Danio rerio: one gene and its partner. Each later gene encodes a partner of the first gene's protein in a complex. Links are inferred from orthologs where the notes say so. Each region holds a gene or a part of one and is shown in the gene's direction. Other genes may lie near its edges. The genes, in order: mmut and mmaa.

Region 1 (11,193 bases):
AACCAAAATTGTCTTATTTAACTTTTTACAGTTTTTATTTAATTATTATTTTTATTTAATTAACCAAACAAATAAACATTGTTTTTTTTTTTTTTTTTTTTTTTTTTTGCAGCTATAAAAACTTTCCTAAATACACACTCTGTATGTGCATTTATGTACAGTTGAAGTCAGAATTATTAGCCCTCCTTTGATTTTTTTTTTTTTTTTTTTTTTTTTAAATATTTCCCAAATTATGTTTAACAGAGCAAGGAAATTTTTACAGTGTTTCCTATAATAATGTTTGTTCTGGAGAAAGGCTTATTTGTTTTATTCCGGCTAGAATAAAAGCAGTTTTTAATTTTTCGAAAAACATTTTAAGGTCAACATTATTGGTCCCTTTAAGCTATATTTTTTTGATAGTCTACAGAAAAAATCATCGTTATACAATAACTTGCCTAATTACCCTAACCTGCCTAGTTAACTTAAGTAACCTAGTTAAGCCTTTAAATGTCTCTTTAAACTGTATAGAAGTGTCTTGAAAAATATCTAGTCAAATATTATTTACTGTCATCATGGCAAAGATAAAATAAATCCGTCATTAGAAATGAGTTATTAAAACTATTATGATTAGAAATGTTGAAAAAAATCTTTCATTTAAACAGAAATTGTTCTAAAATTATTTTAATAATTAATAATTATTAATAATTAATAAATAAGTAATAATCCAGGGGGGCTAATAATTCTGACTTCAACTGTATATAAATGTTTATCTTAATGTGTCTTCACAAAATCCCATTATCACAATAAAATACATTTTTAAAACATAATTGAGTGGAAAAAATAATAGCCTAATAATGTAGTAGCATAGTAGCCTGTGTGTGGCAGCATTGCGTCATCTTGAATGATTGGGCCTAACTGGTCTCGGAATACATAAAATGAGCCCTTTTTGTTTTTGTTTTCTGGCGATTTTTTTTGTTATTCGAAATTTAAAAAAAAATGAAGTTCAAATAGTTTTTAAAATTTTGATTATCCTTTTTTTACCATAAAAAAGAAAACACCTCATATTTCAATTTACGTTTTTGATTAAAAAAAAAAAGATAATCAAAAAACAACTTTTTTTTCAATATCTGTTTCCTTAATGAACATCCAATGACCAAAATATACACGGACCTATTTCAGTACAGAACAAGCGATTAAACTGACAGAAACACTGCATTATTTCGGAGGTAGTTGATTATATGGACCCTTTTCACAAGATTGTTATGATGCGTTTTTTTTATTTTTATTTTTTTAAAAAAGTATGAACATTTATATGCATTTATGTATGTTATATCATTGTTGCGTTAAATTACAAAAAACGATTCACCGCCTATGTGAGGCATTTGTAATGCAGAGTCTATGGGGCTGAAAGTAAATTTGATGTTGTTCTCTCCTCTGGCTGCCGTTATCAGTCTCACACTATTTTCCCCTCTTTTTCTGAAAGCAGAAAGCAAAGTCTTGATAACAACATCATGGCATTTTCTTGTAAAAATGAAAATGTTGTCTTTGTGTTTTAACAAAAGAAAGAAATTTAATTTCGAGAAGATCACAAGCTTATGATTGCTAGCGGCTGGATCTGTATAATCCAATTCTCAATGCACTAATCAGATGACTCCTAAGCTACTACAAATACCTTGGGTTACGTACCACTGCTATCTTCGTTTTAGAGAGTCCCCCTATCCACCCCTACTCCTCCCTCTTCCTAAATGGGTGACATGGTGGCCCAGTGCTTAGCACTGTTGCCTTACAACAAGAATGTCTCTGGTTCCAGGCTTTACCAAACCAGTAGACGTTTCTGTGCGGAGTTTGCACTTTCTCCCTGTGCTCAAGTTGGGTTTCGCCCGGGTTTCCCGGTTTCCTCCCACCGTCCAAAAACATGCAACTTAGGTTAATTGGTAACACTTTACAATAAGGTTCATTAGTTAATGCATTTACTAACATGAACTAATCATGAACAACACATGTACAGCATTTATTAATCATAATTGAACAGTTACTAATGCATTATTAACATCCAAGTCCATGCTTGTTAACATTAGTTAATGCACCATGACTTAACATGAACTAACAATGAACTACTGTATTTTCATTAACTAACGTTAACTAACATGAACAAATACAGTAGATGTATTGTTCATTGTTTGTTCATGTTAGTAAATGCATTAATTAACATTAACTAATGAACCTTATTGTACAGTGTGACCGGTTAATTGACTAATCCAAATCGGCACTATAGACATGCTCCTAGTAAGTACTTATCTCTTAAGAGCAATCACTATCTGTTCATTAGTTACTACAGCAGGGGAGTTCTCGAGATCTACCTGAGCTCAAACTCCCCTCTCGCCTTGCAACGGGAGGGAGCTCCGGGCTCGAGGATCTTATGAGCTCAGGGCGGTCTCCCGGGACAGCATGCCAAAGTAGCTTATAATTAATCATCAGCTAAGTGTGAACTCTTGAAACAGATTTTAAACAAGCATTGAGTTCTATTCTGAACTTTGTATAAAAAGGTACATCTTTACTTTTGACAAAATTAGATAAATTTACTCAACACAATGAATTTTCTTTTTTCAGAATATGCCCAAGTTTAATTCTATTTCCATCAGTGGATACCACATACAGGAAGCTGGTGCTGATGCCATCCTGGAGTTGGCTTACACGATTGCCAATGGACTGGAGTACTGCAGGACTGGACTAAAGGCTGGACTCACTATTGATGAATTTGCACCCAGGTTAGCTTAGAAATTCAGTACATTTCTGCATAAAAATAATAGTACATTCTATTTTAAACAATTTATTACACCATGAATATAAAATAATTGTTATATTTAAAGTAATGCACTGTTATAGCTATATTATTCATTCGTTAATATTTGTTAATACTTTCATTGATCATTTTTCAAATAATTAATTAAAAGTATTTAATTCTTCTTAAAATAAATATACAAATCGAATTATTTTCAATTCAATTCAATTAAAAAAACTTGCCTTATCCCCAAAAGGGTTAGAAAATTGTCTTCAGACAGATGCTCACATTTCCAGTAATAACGCAGAGTCGCACAGCTAAAATGTTTCCTAAAGGTTTCATCATATACAGTATGTGAAACGGGCTGTTTTGTGTCATCTCTGTTTAGATTGTCTTTCTTCTGGGGCATCGGGATGAACTTTTATATGGAAATAGCGAAGCTGAGAGCAGCACGACGTCTGTGGGCGACACTCATCAAAGAGAAGTTTCAGCCGAAGAACTCCAAATCCCTCCTGCTGAGAACTCACTGTCAGACATCTGGATGGTCCCTTACTGAGCAGGTACCCTGAACGCAAATCCACAGCCAGCTGGTGAACGGCTCATTAAACAAACTGTGAACAGAAAAAAAAAACATGTCTTATATATGATATATGTGTTAATTATTTTGTCAGTTGCTTGTCTTTCATTTCAATAATGGTATACTTAGTAGCTAAGCAATTTTTAAAATGGATCCCAGGGCATGTTGGCCTATTCGGAAATGAACAAGCAGACAAACCTGCCAAAACAGCCCTAACAGAGAAAATAAGAGTGCAAAATCCCACCTTCAGATTTAAAACTATTAATAAAATGCTATATTTAAAAAAAATGACAAGCAGAATAGGATCTGTGCACTTTCAGAAATATGTAATGTAATGTGTATTTATATAGCGCATTTATTGTGTATGGCCATACACCCAAAGCGCTTCACAATCATGAGGGGGGTCTCTCCACACTACCACCAGTGTGCAGCATCCACTTGGATGATGCGACGGCAGCCACAGGACAACGGCGCCAGTGCGCTCACCACACACCAGCTATAGGTGGAGTGGAGAGACAGTGATCGAGCCAATTCGGTGGAAGGGGATGATTGGGAGGCCATGATCGTAAAGGCTCTTTCACGAGAAGTGCCATGGGATTTTTAATGACCGCAGAGAGTCACTTTTACTGGGGCATTAGGACTCACACAGACCACGCCCCCTGCTGGCCTCACTAACACCACTTCCAACAGCAACCTAGTGTTCCCTAGTAGTCTCCCATCCAGGTACTAACCAGGCTCAGCCCTGCTTAGCTTCAGTGAGTAACCGGTCTTGGGCTGCAGGGTGATATGGCTGTGGCATTTAAATAAAGGTACAGCAGCTGTTACTGGGGTGGTACCTTTTCAAAAGGGTACACTTTTGTATTACAGGTGGACATTAGTACCTTTAGGCAATAGCGGTTCTAGTTTAAATGGAGCCCTGGTTGAAACACCCCACATACACCCCGAATATGGACAAAACGAGTATTGGGATTATTAAAAATATTGATATTTATTATAAATAAAATTATTATTAATATTATTTCATACAATTATTAATCTAAATAAAAAATAGAAAACAATCCTAATGGTAACTGGAAAACAATGTAAAGACAAAACTAGAGTAATATGCTAAGATCACTTTTATTATATTTTGCATGATTATTAATTATGACAGTTAGATAAAATACAAAAAAATATATGTTTTGTAAAATAATCTGTTCATCCTAGACCCAACTCAAGGGGGGTTCACTCTAATACAAGTTTTATTTATGGAGAAAATTGTGTATATTCCATACAAATTATAAAGCTGATCTGTCCGTTCTTGTCACATGACTTGCAATGCTCTTGAAGCATTCATTCAACTGGGAAATAACAAACTCTAAAAGACGCACTATTCGAACAGCCCCTAAAAGGCCACCGTCATTTGCGATCTCCAGCAGTTGATCTTCATGCACAGACATGCTGGATTCACCCTATTTGTTGACAAATGGTTTGCAGATCTGTACCTCGGCGCTACATGGGTCCTTTGCTGGGCCTTTTTCCCTTTAGCAAAGAAACTTTCCAAAAACATCTGTTTCTTACTCCTTTTGCTGCTTGTGAGTTAAATTTGGGCTCTCAAATGTCCAAGATGTAAGCTAGAGAATGGGGTAATTTTTCAAAATAAAAGATTTTTCAAAATAAAAGATTGATCCAAGATTGATGAAAGATGGTGGTTGAGGAGCACTGCCATATCGGACACTCAAGACTCACTCTTGGACATCTACTCAAAAGAAAAGTGCCGCCAAAGTGTCAATATTGCAACAAATAATCAAAGTGTTTTAAATGTATACCTTTGGAATGCCTTGTTTTAATCTTATCTGACAATGATTTTTATCTGGAGAGATATTTTTAAATTTGAATACTTCAAAAATGGTAAAAAAAAATGTATCAAAAGTTTTATGTATTGATTATTACTGCTGAATGTCTTTTTCATTTTTATAATTGTATTATTATAGAAAAGTGATATTTCTAAAATGTATTAAATTTGATATAATAAATTCAAATCTCTCTCTTGGTAGCCACACCCATGTGAAATGCTATCGGTTCAAAACAGGCTGTATTGTAAAATTTCCCTGAACTCAAATATGTTAAGCTCTGCTTAAACTGTGTGATTTTAGCCATGAATTGGTCGTCTAAAACAAAATTGGGAAATTCTAAAAGAAGACCTGAAATCCTATGTTAAAATCTGTAATCTTTTAGGGTTGGATTGACATGTTTACCGACAGACGCCCTGTCTGCATGTTTCAGTTGAAATTAAATCACAGATTAACCAAAGCTGCACGTTTCAAGGCACTTAAAGTCCACGTGAACCAGAAGTTGCTGAGACTTTTATTTCAGTATGTTGATTTACTTGCAATGAAACAAAATATTGTGTTGGGGGCGGGGCTTTCTTTTTGCACATCATTGCCATGTAGCTAACTAAGAGGGGCGTGGTTGAGAATATTATGGCTGGAGCATCAAACTGACATCAACAGAGAAGAACAGCCACTCCAAACATGAAAGCAAAATAGTCAAAATTTGATTGAAGATTACTTAAACAACTTTTAGGAACCAAATACTTAAAAGAAATTATGCTTTAATAAAACAACCACTGTAAAATTTGATTTCACACAGACTTCAAGAATAACTTTAAACATAAATTAAATTCTGATTGAATTTGCTCTTCAGGACCCTTACAACAACGTGATCCGTACCGTAATCGAGGCCATGGCTGCTGTGTTTGGAGGCACTCAGTCTTTGCACACCAATTCTTTTGACGAAGCTCTGGGTTTGCCCACGGTCAAGAGCGCCCGCATCGCCCGCAATACCCAGATCATCATCCAGGAGGAGTCAGGCATCCCAAAGGTGGCTGATCCCTGGGGTGGATCCTACATGATGGAGGCTCTCACCAATGACGTCTACAACTCGGCCCTCAAGGTTCGTAGGAAAAAAAAATAATAATGAAATTATATATATATATATATATATATATATATATATATATTAGGGATGTGCGGAGCAGCCGGTATTTGTATTTGTATTTGTTGAGGGGGGAAAAGTATTTGTATTTGTATTTGTATTCGAGTAAAATTCAAAATGGCGCAAAAATATATATTTTTTCTATTACACTTCTAATTTACGTTATAGTGAAAGTATTGTTTAATTATACCCATTATATAAATTATAGATATGCCATATTGGCTGTTGTTTTTGAACATGTGACAAGAAATGTCATTGAAAAGAAAATAACATAGAAGCCATTATCTCATCCATGGTTAAACCAACAACTAATAAAATACCATTGTGAATATTATGAACCCCACCACCACCGTTCTTGACACTGAATAGACGGAATAAAAACAAATAATACTTCAAAAAACTGTTCTTTTTCTGAAAGAACTTCTTTCCAATGCACAGAATTCCAAAAACTAAAATTAACAAAATAAATCTAAATAAAACCCTGCCTGGGAGATCTGGCAGAACAAAAGTATTCTATATAATACTAAAAGATACAGCCCTGCTATTGTCATCTGCCTGCCACAAAACAGACACAAAGTTTGTTTGTTTGTTTTTTTTATGTTTGAAACTGACTTGCTGGGGCAGAATGTGGCTGTGTTGATGGTTTGGTGCTTGTGGAGGATTTAGCAGAACATAGCTGTGCTGATTGAGGGGATTGATGCTTGTGGGGGGTTCACAGACAGTATCAGGAGAGGATGCTTTTAGTGCATGTGATAATACATTACATAGAAGGTTGCGCGGTCGCACAGTGAGTAGCACTGTCGCCTTACAGCAAGAAGGTTGCTGGTTCGAGCCCCGACTGGGTTCTCCCCATGTTGGCGTGGGTTTCCTCCGGGTGCTCCTGTTTCCCCCACAGTCCAAACACTTGCAATACAGGGGAATTGGGTAAGCTAAATTGTCCCTATTGTATGTGTGTGAAAGAGAGTGTATGGATGTTTCCCAGTGCTGGGTAGCAGCTGGAAGGGCGGCCACTGCATAAAACATATGCTGGATAAATTGGTGGTTCATTCCACTGTGGCAACCCCAGATTGATAAAGGGATTTAGCCGAAAAGAAATGAATGAATGATTATGGATAGAAGATGTTGACAGATGTTTAATATCTCTGCCTCTGCTGATTTCACTTTTGTAAACATTATACCGTATCACTTTGTTTTATCTGCAGCAGCACTGACTGTAAAATGCTTCCACACAGAACCTGAAGGTTTTTTTTTCTTTTGACTGGTGGAGGACTAAGAAATGGCTTAGCAGCAGTCTTTTTCACTCTTTTTCTGGGTGCCCAAATGTATTTGAGGAGTTTCAAGTTAATAAAAAGTGACGGGAAGCTATGCTAAGGTTAACTAGCCTATAGCATATATCTTGCTGTCTGCAAAAGACAGTAATGTAGACGTACCATATAACTCCCATAAGTGCATACTATTCGACACAACTGCAAAAGCATCGTTTTAACCTTTATAAACGAACGTTAACGTTACTCTGGCAACAGTCTATTTCTAAATTACCGCGCTAACAGAGCTAACGTTGCGTAAACAGAGCACCCGGTTGCAGACGTAAAAAATGCAGCGTAATAGAAAATCCCGATTAAAATTCGCTACAAGTTTATAAACTGCATCTGGAACCCAATTAAGGTACAAAAATCTATTTAACAAAAATAGTAATGCAGTGAAGTATTTTTTTCGCTCAGCTGAGCCTTCTGTCTGTTGCTGTGGAGAAGCTTGTGCCAGACACCCTGTTATCTCCGCCCCGCCCTCCGACATGCCGACTGAGCGTCTCTCTCTCTCTCTCTCTCTCTCTCTCTCTCTCTCTCTCTCCCACTCACTCACTCACTTACGCGGGCATGCACTGTGGTCTCATGAGGAAACGCTGCTTTTTGATATAGTGTTTTTCTTGCTCCCGAATACAAATAATTTTTCAAGTATTTGTTCGAATCAAGTATTCGTAAAAACACGCTATTCGTGCCTTTCCGAATACCGTATTCAGGTTCGGCTCCACCCTTAATATATATATAAATATATATATATATATATATATATATATATATATATATATATATATATATATATATAAAATCCTAAATGCAATAAGGTGCATTTCTGTCAAGTTCTGTCAAGCTATTGTATTGGTAACCTAATAACCAACAGTAAACAAGGCAAGTGTATCAGAGGCCAGCCAGTAGGTGCTGTGCAGGTAAACCTCATTCCTCTGACCTCTAAAGGTGCTCTATCGACAGACGCTAGAGGCTATGCTCTTTAGCCTCCTTGGTAGAGCAACCGACTCCCAGGTGGAACGTCGCCGACTTGATACCAGCTCGGAACAGGTTGGGTGGCGTGCGACTGGCGGGGTTACACAAGCATAATGGAGACAGCTGATTGGTCACATTGGTGTAATGTTCGCGACGTCAGAGTTTATTGGCAAATGTGTTTCCATCTTTCATTTATGCACATTAACCCTTTTTTCACAATTCCAGTAACACCTTATGTTTGTGTTAAACTTTTCACAAATTAAGAGATTTTTATGAGATATTTAGCATTTCTACCTAGCTAGTGGCGAAAAATGTATTTAGTTACAGTATTTGTCAACAATTTTTGTTTTTCCCGTCATATGTCCGCATAATGAAAAACGCACTTGACTTAATGTAATAAATCTGAATTTGCGGTTCAAAAAGTTGATTTAAAGCACGTGATGTAATGATTGTTTATTTGATTCTGGACTCATTATTTGAATGTGAATTATATAATTACAGAATTATTATTTTGTGATTTTTTTATTTATTTTATTTTTTAATATTATTTTAAATAAAACTAATACAATTTATTAAGACTTATACAAATACATATTAATCATTTCTTTAATGAATGAATGAATTAATGAATAGTTAAATCTTAAAAATTAATTTAAAAATAATCCGTATTCTGTATATTTACTGTAATCTGTATTATTCTGTAGTATTAAAGCTGGCTGCATGAATAAATTATTTAACCTAGATATGTTTTATCCATTATATTTAATTAATTAATAATAATAATAGTAATAATGACAACAGCATTTTCATTTACATCTCATAAAACAAAATAATTCTTGGATTTAGAAATAAGTACAAAAATAATAAAATAAAAAAAAAACGTAAAAAATGTAATTTTCTGGCAGCTGGGGCTCCAGAAAATTACCGTAACAAAAGGAAAAAAGACTGTCAGAATAAAAAAATGTAGATAATCTGTAAAAAAACAGTAATTTCTTGTTCCCTAATTAAAAGTTATTACTGTCATTTTACAGATTTTAACTGTAATTACAATTACGGGAATATGCTGAAGCATACTAATAGGACTTTTAATTTGCCAGTAACCTGGGTTAATCGTTTCCTGTGATTTGAATGCCAATGCAAATTCGATCCGTTTAAGGTCCGTTTTCTTTACAAATCAGTGATCTCCAATGGCTGAGTAATATCCGATATAAAGTGGGTCTCAGATTGTACAAGAAGCACTGCATTAAATTACATTTTCCCCCGCCATGTCTTTATAATATGAGCATTTATTTTACCCCAGTATATTCAATAGAGCTTCTGCGCCTGACTGCCGATTCTGACAGGCGCGTGCGAGTAAATGGATATTGCAATTACACAGAATATTATTGTCATTTTACAAATTATTACTGTAAATATAAAATTTCTTAATGTAATTATACAGATAATTAATTTGATTATAAGGATAATTACTGTAAATATGCAGGTTATTAATGTAATTATACAGATTCATTTATTAAATTATACATGAAATCTCTAAATATTCCATTAATTTTTCTACTTTTAACATACCTTTAAAACTAGAAAAAAAAAAGTTTAAAGAACGATTAAAAAAAAGGTTAGGTACAAATAATTGCTGTTGTCATAAAACACTGTAAATATAACTATAAACTATAAAATAGTTTTCACAAATATTTTAAGGATATGTAGGTTAAAAATTTTTAAATTAAATCAATTTTCTTGAGAAAATACAAAACTGTTATCAATTTTTTTTATTTCTTTTTTTACAAGTAACGCATTTGGTCATTATTTAACAACAAAAAACAAGGTTAGTGTCGTGAGGACGCCTGCACAACAAAGCTGAGGATCAAATAGCAGTTTAATAACACAATCATCTTGTAATTAAAGGTTGAAACAGGAACAAACTGATGCATACAGATAATCCTAAAGGCGGCAAACAAAATTACAAAGTAAAAAATCAGTCCACAATGATCTTCTGGCTGTGTGTGTAATCAGTTACAATTAGGAACCCAGGTGTGTAAGGTGCATGCTGGGAGTTGTAGTTCGTTAAAGTAACGTTTGTAGTTTTCCAGCGATCCTCTGCCACAAGATCACAGGTGATCGTCACAATTCGCATAGCACCATTGTTAGAGTAGTAAAACAAACATTTCATAGTTTACAGTACATGCATTATATGCATTCTACAAACATTAAGCTATTGTTTTTTATTTTTTTAACCTCATGGTATAATCTTCAATAAAAACAATTTGACAGAATTTTTGTTTCCCTATTTTTACAGGAATAACCTGTAAATATTAATGTGAAATTATGTGTTACTCTCTAAAAATACATGAAATTTCCATTAAAAAGCAGAAAAATAAAGTAATGCCAAATTACAAGCAATAACTGTATATTTAGTGTTAGAATTTTTTTTTATTACAGAGCATATCTCTAAAACAACAGGCATTTCACTCTATAATGAAAAAACTGAAAAATTCTGTAAAAAAATACAGACAATTACCTGTAAAATAACGTTTATTTTTTAAAGTGTAGTTGCTTTTTAAAAAAGGCCCTTTCAGACCTGCTTTAATGCGCTGTGACAT
Region 2 (9,874 bases), on another chromosome or scaffold:
ATATATGGTAAACATATATATTCAAGTCCTGATCAAGAGGTAACGTCTGATTCCAATCGAGTCTGAAACCACTTGATCAGGTCCGATTTCCGATCACGTGATTGGATCTGTACATCCCTACTGATTAGCGCATTGTGTTCTGCATCCTGATTGGCTGTAGACCATTGTTAATCAATCTCCATGCCGTGTATCCTGTACAATACAGAATGCATTTAAACAAATGCATAAATCTTTGCTCGCTAGTAGTGTAACTCTGAAGTTCTGTACTGTATGTTTGCAAGTTTTCTTCCCAACAAACCCCATGTCAACAAAACAACAAAACATTTCACTGTCAAAGGCACCTACAGTAGCACCCAAAAGGCAGAGGAAGATGCTAACCATAACACAAAAAGTTGGACTTCTGAACATGCTAAAGGAAGGTAGAAGTTAAAAGTAGAGAATAGTGTGAAAATGTTAATGCCTATCTGAGACAATAGTGTAGTGATGGGTTTTACAACCTTAAAACACCTATAATAGTAAAAAATAGTGGACTACTTCAGGGATTTCACCTATTGTGGGCTATTTTTAGAATGCAATTTCCGCAATTAACAAGGGACCACCGTATATATAAGTGAAAAAGTGAAAAGTTAGTGATTTTGAATAGTTACAAAAGATTTGTATTTTATATTAGAATGTCAAGATTTTTTTTTTTCATTTATTCATTTGATTCATTCAAAATGCTGATTCATTCAGGAATTAAGAAAATGAGTATGAATAGAAATTAAATGATTCAAAAGGGATTAATCTGCAAATGAACAAATCTGTTGGTTTAATTTATATACTTGTATTTTCTTTCATTTATTTAAGTGTTTAGAGCAGGGATGTCCAAACTCGGTCCTGGAGGGCTGGTGTCCTGCAGGTTTTTGCTCCAACTTGCCTCAACACACCTGCACAGATGTTTTTAGATAGCCTTGTAAGAGCTTGATTAGCTAGCCCAGGTGTGTCTGATTGAGGTTGGAACTAAACTTTGCAGGACACCGGCCCTCCAGGACCTCGTTTGGACATGCCTGGTTTAGAGTGTATTAGAGATGCACTTCTGCTCTGACTTAATATTTTTGTTGGCAAGATTAAGGCCGTTTTGACTTCAGTATCTTGAATTTAGGCTCATACGACAGCATTCTATAGGCTCCATCATGCAGTCAGTTACTCACTTGCATCATGTTCATCACCCATAAACTGTATAAAATGTAAGATGACTTCCACCGGTCTGGAGGGACTCTATTTAATTTGATAATAATTTAATGTATATTTTTTCATTATTTTATTAACATTAAATTGTTATCATTCAAAAATCAACAGTGTTTATATATCTTTGTCCTCATTTTAACTTTTTTCTTCTTTGCCACCCTTTCATATAAGTAATAAACAGCCTCTATTATGGGTTTTTGAAAATGACCTTTCATGCAGTAACAGAGCTTTAAGTGAAAAGTAAAATATCCAGCTAAGGCTTAAATATGAAAGTGCACCATGTTTAAAAGGATTGAAAAAGTTTTAAAAATAAGAAGACAAGCACTGTTGCAGACCCTGGTTGAATCATGTCGCAAAGACGCTGTGCTCTGAAGTGTGAGCGAAAATTTGTGTTATTTTTCCTACCCAAAGATGAGGCTGTAAAGAGTCAGTGGTTGAAGTTTATTTATGCAAAAATACCTCTGCATTGTAGCCCCAGCATTGTGCTGTGTTCTCGTCATTTTTTTGACGAGTGCTTCAAGAATCTACATGCTTACAACAGGTGATTTGTCAGCCATTTGTTAAAGAAAGGATCAGAAAAGACTATATGGGACTTTGCAGAGCTTGAGGGGGAAGAATTTACTTGAGTTTTCCAGGAGAAACAACAAAATGGGAGGGTGGCGGGAGATGGGTCTGAAATACGGGAGTGTTGGCAGGTATGCTCACACATACACTCTGCACACTGACTACAACAAAATTGTTGATGAGCCGTGGTTGGCATTTATCTCTGTCTCGCGCTAAACGTAGTAGACAAATCACAACAGACTGAGTCATCAAACCAGTTGTGCTGAGGAGAAGTTTGGGAACAAATAAATCGCTGAACGAATCATATAGGAGTCGCTGGTATAATTAGGTAAAAATAAATACATATTATAAGACAATGAAAATGTTTTTTGACCTTGCATGCATATCAGCCTGTTGTTGGAGACCCCCAAAACCTAAATAAAACCCTTTTTAATGCATAATAGGGGCTTATTTTAAAAGCGTTTTAATTCTATACCTTTATTATTTGTTTAGAAGAGCCATCCTGTCCAGTGAAGTCGTCTTTACTGTCATTTCCCATCATGCTCTGCTCTACGTTGTCAAGTTCTTCCTCTTTGTCTCCTCAGTCCCAGTATTACTTCTACCCGCAGGGCACAGAGCCAACATAGGCAGCCCTTTGAATGGCCAAATGCTGCCTCATGCATTTCACTGATTAGAGGCCACCCACATGGATGAGAAGCGCTAAAGTCTTTGTCTCCTCTTAGCAGCATGATTTCTGAGCTTCATTCCTGTACTGGAGGATGCGACGGTCATATTGATTTTTTTTTTTTTTTTTGCCCTCCCTAAAGACTTTCCAGTATAAAGGTCTACTAAAACCAAGGATGGAGTGACATGTGTGGGCGAACACTCTTTACATTTCTGCATTCTTGCTGTTCGGATGTAAAGCTACTGCCTGCTTCCATTCTTTTTTTCCCTCAAAACAAGATGAATATAAGATCTTAAAATGCGCTCAAAAATTACCTTTGCTGCTTGTTCAAACTATTCATTTAAAATTATTTGAAACACCACAATTTGTTAGGTTTTTTAGAGGGACAACTTAATTGTTTTGTTTAATCCACTTAAGATGTGTTGTTACAACATGGTGGAATTGTGTAGAACCCAGCATTTTTATATTGGGTTTGCACTGCATTGTAATGTGTATATACACAAAAGCACAACAAAAAACTATTTTAACAAAATATTTAATATTATATTATATACAACAGTTCTGTCTGATTCTCGAATCTGATGGGCTGATAGCCACGCAATATTCTGCAATATCAGAACTCGTACAGTCTTTTCACTCTTGTGTATTACTCCGCCCACATAGAGTGACAGCAGATCATTAAACTCACTACAGTTTGACAGATATTGCTGCTGTTGGACAACATAATGTACTTTTGAGGCTTTTTAGGTTAGAATGTAGTTGTTTAAATAGCAACTATGCAGTTAATTTATAAAGACAGTGCCTATTTTAAATATTTATAATTTAAGAGATACTGCGAGCAAGCAACCATTAGTCGTACTGAGCAAAGACGGTTGACATTGTCTATCCACAAGATGGCAACAGAGAACACATGGTTAGCCCTTAGAAGAGAAAAACTCAGCGCAATGTCTAACTACAGCTGATCGAAACATCATAAAACTCTGTCTCTCTTTTTTGAATGTTAAAGTGCTGTATTTATACCATAGTAATTGTGGTGTATTGAGTGTGAGATGGGACTGACATATCAGTAATGTATGTACTTTGTGTTGGCCACTCTTTGCATAACCTTGAATCACTTTTTGGTTAGCCATCTGTTTGTTTCTAATGCGTCCCCTGTTTTCGTTACTGCAGACTAGTTAAGTAAAAAAAAGAAAGAAGAAATGCCCGCATGCGTTTAGCATTTTTACTTATCGCAAACACAACAGTAATCTGGAAGTGTTTGCGTGGCTTTAACTTTTTTGGGGATGATTATTGCGAAATTTCTAATGCAACAGAGAAATACTGAGAAATGTCTGTAGACTGATGGCATTTCATGCCGTTCAGCCCTATAATCTTAAACTGTGAGCAAAATCAGCTGTTTTGTCTTCACTTTAGACATTACGCTAGAGAATCATTCAAGCACTAGCTCTACAGTGATGTTGGTGATGTAGCAATGGTTTCTGCTGTTCTGACGTCAACTGCACAAGAAAGAAAGTAGTTCCTCATACAAAAGGGTTTTTAGATTCTCTGTGTTTGATCTTCTTTTTTTATACACGACTATGCCGTGGAACTGTTGTATAAATGCAATATCACACTCGTAGCAGTGCGATAGGGCTGTATATTGTCACTTGTGTGACACTAAGGCAACACACGTCTCCCATCAGTGCCGATATACAACCAAATCACACTGCCACGAGTGATATCGCTCTTATATTATATTACACATTGATAATGATTGATTTGTTTTAGAGCAGGAATAATGTAGTAAATTGACACTAAAATGTTAAAATTTAAATCATTCATTTTCTTTTTCACATTTAACTGAAAATAAAATTGAAATAATACTAAAATGTTTATAGTCAAATACAAATGTAATAAATTCCATTTAATCATCGTTGACTAGCAACTTCTTTTTTTGCTATGCTTAACATGAACTGTTGAAAACTGAAATAAAAATATTAAAATATGTAGGCATGCAAAATTAATAAATAAGAAATCCTTTAAAGTTTTATCATAAATGCTTTAAACTAAATAATAGTTGCTGTTTTTGATTAACTGAAAAAAACGGCTATAATAATGAAATATAGTCATATAAAAAAATTATAAATATCTCCTTAGCTTTTTATTATAGTTTACTAGCACTCAAATGTAAACTTCTAATCTAATGTTAGCTGGGAAAACTGAAAAGTAATAAAACATGCAAGCATGTACAAAATGTCCCTTAAAGGGTTTAAAAAAAAATGGCCCTTGAAATATTTTTTTATGAGAGGGCCATATAAGAATGTAAACAAAAAACAACTGGTTTTTATTGTGCCTTAACATTAACTGGGGAATAAAATGTAATAAAATAATGCAATATAGTGGAATTTTAATAACTAAATCACTAAAACATTTAAAACAACTATTTAATCTATTAATAAACATCAGTATGTCAGTGATAATCAATCAACACTGCTTCAGATGGTGATCTCTTGTCAACACATTTATATTCGTCCTTTTTCTGGCTCTCTTCACATGTGGTCAGGTGGTGCGCATATCCTCTCAGACGGGGCAGGGTGTGCCGGAGCTTTGGGAAACCATGCTGCACTTCCGGGAGGAGATGCTGAGCAGCGGGGAGCTCCAAGTCCGACGGCAGACTCAGCAGAAGGTGTGGATGTGGAGTCTGATCCAGGAGAATGCTCTCCGCCACTTCCAACAGCATCCAGCGGTGCGTGCAGAGCTCCCAGAGCTGGAGAGCAGAGTCACGTGTGGAGAAATCTCACCTGGACTCGCTGCTGACCTGCTGCTCAAAGTTTTCACAGACACACAGTGATGGAGGGGCTGCTTTATGGGGGAAAAACTGGTTGTTTTAGGGATTACTTGAATGGAAAAATCATTGCAAGATTGAATCTTACAAATGTTGCTTCACTTGATTTTAAAGGATTTTAATTACTGGTGACTTTTGATGATTATGTTCTAATATTGTCTTAGTGTTATCTTGTCCTGTAGATGAGATTAAATGACTAATATGTGTTGGATTTTTTGAGGAATATGTACATTTTGGGACTTGACAATAAAATGTAATTTTCTTCTGATTATTTTTTTCATTTCTTGATATTTTGTTGCCTACCATCATCAACAGTGATAAGATTAAGTAAAAAAAAGCTTGAAAGAATATCTTATAGCATGACAATTAGCATAATTATATATTTTTAGTTTTTTTATTGATTGTTTTAGAAATATCAATATTTTAAAATTATTAAATATTTTCTATTAAAAACGTTTTCCTAATATATGGTAATAAATTAATAATAGAAGCTAAAAGAAAAGGCCATTTTGTGAAAAATACATTTTGTAATGCTGAGAATTACATAAAACATAATAATTGCCACTACATAAATTACAATTACATAAATATATTACAGTAACAGTAATGCTAGAATATAAAAAGCTAAATAATATTTTTATACTTTAAAAATTATATACTTGTTTTATATATGTTTATATTATATTATGTTTATGTTATATTATTTATTAAACATTATCTTCACAGAACTAACTATAATGACTTTTTTTCTTTTTGACTGCTGCCAATTTTACTATGAAACCATAAAGATAAACATATGCTACAGTGTGTGGCTAAAATAGATGTTAATGTGATAATTGAGCATAAATGTATTACATTGAAAACAAGTGACTATACATCAACATGCAGGCCTGTAACCAGTAGAGTTCGGGTGGTTCGAAAGACCCGCCCCTCACTGACAAAGGTCCAGAATTTGTCCCATATGAACTCATTTGTCTTACTTTATCTGCTATGCCACCATAGTTGGGAAATTAACCCATAGAAAAAGGCTTTAAGACCAGGAGAATACTCTGTTGACTGTCCCTTCTGCAAGACTTTAGCTAACAAGTTATATCCAATGCAAACAATTGTTTTTTAGTTCAACATCCAGCTGTAAAGAAAAACACATCTGACGTGAGTGATGTCATCTTTCACTACTTACCTACTGTATCGTTGTTAAATAGAGAAAACATTTTTACAATTACTTTTTGAAACAAACAAACAAAAAAAAATTACCAATAAAATGGTGTGAAGCACCAAAAGCAGCCCATATTAAAATTTATTTGAAAACTTGGCTATTATCCATGAATTTTCAAATGTAAAATCGTGAAGCTCTGCATTATTATTATTATTATTATTATTATTATTACTATTTTGTTTTAATAGTTTATTATTCAAATGGCCAATTTCTGACTGAGGAAAGTTTAATGTTCTGGCCAGTTTGTTATTTGCCAAATGAATGACAATAAGCTCCAGTTTTTAATTTAAAAGTTTTAACAGATTCCTATTTTTTTCTAATGATATATGATGAGTTACATTTATATTTTAAAAATAAGTATTTATATTTTTTTTATTTTAAATCTTTAAGAAATATTTTTGCTACTTCAAAAAGTGAACACACAACCAGCTAATTCAGCTAAAAACTGTGTTTAAATTATCACTAAAATGCAGTATTTGAATCTCATAATTAAAAAGAAAATGATAACTGCAAAAAGATCCACTTTTTGAGAAAAAAAAAGAACCACCACTTTCACCAGGCTGCCTACAGGCCTGACATGTACTTATATACATGTGTTTATATACAATTCAACAAATGACCAGGGGCTGATTTAACCAATAAGCAAGGTAAGTGGCCACTTAAGAAACATGGAGGCCCCCAAGAAGTATAAATTATACCCTATAAACTATATATAACATTGTTTTCTATCATATTTTGTATGGTGAGAGTTAAACAGGTACAATTTTAACATAAACAATTTGTGTTTAGTATACAATCAAATAGAATATTATAATAATGTAATGTTATGTAATAATTAAATAATACAAAATAAAATATCCATCATGGAACAGTCCAGCAGTCAAATTTATAAAAATTATATTATTTTTAGTTGTAATTTTATTTTAAGGAAAATAATCATTTAAAATGTAGAGATTGCATTAATTAAAAATAAGATTGGGTAAAATAAAAAACAGCAATATAAATAAAAATTAATAAAAGTAGAAAGGGTCCCTTTCAGGACTTGGGCCCCATGGCTGGAATTGCTTAAGGCCCCTATATATGACCTTTCTCTTCATGCAGTATGGACTTGTTAAATATGCAAACATCTAACATTTTGCTATTTTTACTGTTGCGTTCTCTACACGTCTACGACCACAAGTAATTCTGCTAATCTTACATAAGAAATCCACTCCACGAATTTCAATGAGCTCATACAGTAAAAAGTGATCTTCTCTCAGCCTGACACTAGATGGACCTGTAGACCTGGCCAGATCTGTGTCCATTATGTAAATCAGCTCTTCTGCATGCCACTGCTGTTTGTCTCAGCCTACAGCACTGTGTCGTCCTTAACAGACTCCGAATATGCTGACTACCAGCCCTCTCCTGTTGATTCCTGTAGCACTACTCAGAATCACAAACTCCAGGAGAATACGCCATGTCGAACAGCACCCTGTTTGTTGTCACCATTGTGTCATTTCTGTGAACCCCAAGTTCGCGTGACCTCATCTGGTGGCTTTTGTCCGGCAAGCTGTGCCGTGTTTGCGTCAAGACGGGATGTTCTGCTGTTTTCCTGCGCACATGCTTTCTAGTCATTATGCCTTGCTCTTCTGTCTTATGACTCAGACTGGAATGCTTTGTGAATACTGATGAACTCTGAAGACCTGAGGGCCGCCCTCTCCATCAATCACCAATAAAAGCTCTTGGCCTTCCAGTGGAAGCGGAGATACGTTACATGTGAGTCCAGGAGCGAGGAAACCTGCTGTCTGAGAGATCATGTTGCAGAGCGAACTGTGTTTATGTACACGGTTAACATTAAGAAAATTGGTTTCATGTACTGCATGCAAGAACCTAGAGGCATAGAATGTAATCAAGTTTAATATCGTGACCATGCCTTTTCATTATTTTAGAAATATAAATAGCAATACCAGTCAAAGAGATTCTTGTTTTTGTTTTTTTGAAATATTTTGTTCATGGATGCTTCGTTTAATGAATCAGAAGTACAGCAATTGTGTGTATGAAATGTTATTTAAAATAACACATATTTAATGTTTCATATTTGAATGTTTTTAAAGCGTAATTGATTTCTGGGGTGGTAATGCTGCTTTTTAAGCAGCCTTTATTAAAATAATAAATTGTTAATATATCATTCATTTTCCTTCAGCTTAGTCTCTATTTCAGAGGTCGCCACAGCAGAATGAACTGCCAACTATTCCAGCATATGCTTTATGTAGTGGATGCCTATCCAGCCACAACCCAGTACTGGGAAAATTGTTAATTAGTGTTAAGTACTATTAATAAAAGGAATTCTCAATATGAATTATGTATCTTATGTTTAAGTTAATGGAAATGTCTGTAAAAATGACTAGTGAGTGTTCTGGCAGAATTTGTTTTCCTTTTTTTTTTGTTTTATTTAAAACAGTGTTCACTGTTTTTTAAGGAATTATTTTATGAATTTAACCTAAAGTAAATACATTTTTTATTACTTTTGATTTATTGATAAATCTTTTCTAAAGTGCATGTCTCATATATTATTAAAAATATTTTATATATTATTATTATTATTATTATTATTATTATTATTATTATTATTATTATTTTCCCAGAGATGGGTTGTGGCTGAAAGGGCATCTGCTATGTAAAAACATGTTGGATAAGTTGGAGGTTCATTCCGCTGTGGCAACCCCGGATTAATAAAGAGACTAAGCCGACAAGAAAATGAATGAATGAATTATTATTATCATGGTGCAGTGGGTAGCACATTCGCTCACAGCAGGAGGGTCGCTGGTTTGAGCCTCGGCTGGATCAGTTTTCGTTTCTGTGTTGAGTTTGCATGTTCTCCCCGCATTCGCGTGGATTTCCTCCAGGTGCTCTGGTTTTCCCCACAGTCCACAGACATGCGGTACAGGTGAATTGGGTAGGCTAAATTGTCCTTAGTGTATGTGTGTGAATGAGTGTGTGTGAATGCTTCCCAGTGATGGGATGCAGCTGGAAGGGCATAAGTTAGGGGCTCATTCTGCTGTGGCGACTTTAGATTAATAAAGGGACTAAGCCGAAAAGAAAATGAAAAAAGGAATATTATTAAAAAATATTCTTAAAGTAAATAAATTTTTTGTATAGTCATATCTCAGATGTCATTTTTTTTACTCTAAATTATACTTAAAAGAATTAAAACTAATATAAATCCTACAATCTAAAAACTATTTTATTAAATACTATAAAATACAGCAAAATAACAACAGAAAATGTCAAATAACAGCATAATTACTAAAACAAACTTTAATCTCAGAATTAAAGATGAGCATTTGAGTAATCTAAATCAAGGGTTCTTAAACTTTTCAACTCGCTACCCCCACAATAA

What was found.
Region 2: the proteins of mmut (region 1) and mmaa are in contact, whole or in part, in a crystal structure (PDB 8GJU), measured with the Homo sapiens proteins. The link is inferred for Danio rerio from reciprocal best matches to the Homo sapiens genes MMUT and MMAA. Residues at the interface, in NP_000246.2 of Homo sapiens: Lys496, Glu609, Arg610, Glu611, Gly612, Arg613, Arg614, Arg616, Ala635, Thr636, Ala639, Asp640, Gly642, Phe643, Asp644, Val645, Asp646, Ile647, Gly648, Pro649, Leu650, Phe651, Gln652, Glu656, Gln659, Gln660, Val662, Asp663, Ala664, Asp665; in NP_001362573.1 of Homo sapiens: Arg98, Ala99, Ala102, Glu103, Thr106, Glu109, Ser110, Thr111, His112, Ser182, Ser186, Gly187, Gly188, Ser189, Leu190, Leu191, Lys194, Thr195, Met197, Thr198, Ser201, Arg202, Met204, Tyr207, Ile208, Arg209, Pro210, Ser211, Pro212, Arg214.

The regions. Positions count from the first base shown.
Region 1 is NC_133195.1:47,754,551-47,765,743, reverse strand, and holds part of mmut (methylmalonyl-CoA mutase, mitochondrial), read left to right. Parts: intron 1-2,589; coding exon 2,590-2,747; intron 2,748-3,149; coding exon 3,150-3,321; intron 3,322-6,023; coding exon 6,024-6,272; intron 6,273-11,193. UniProt on the Homo sapiens protein: Catalyzes the reversible isomerization of methylmalonyl-CoA (MMCoA) (generated from branched-chain amino acid metabolism and degradation of dietary odd chain fatty acids and cholesterol) to succinyl-CoA (3-carboxypropionyl-CoA), a key intermediate of the tricarboxylic acid cycle.
Region 2 is NC_133176.1:39,116,855-39,126,728, forward strand, and holds the end of mmaa (methylmalonic aciduria type A protein, mitochondrial), read left to right. Parts: intron 1-4,997; coding exon 4,998-5,285; 3' UTR 5,286-5,547; downstream 5,548-9,874. UniProt on the Homo sapiens protein: GTPase, binds and hydrolyzes GTP. Involved in intracellular vitamin B12 metabolism, mediates the transport of cobalamin (Cbl) into mitochondria for the final steps of adenosylcobalamin (AdoCbl) synthesis.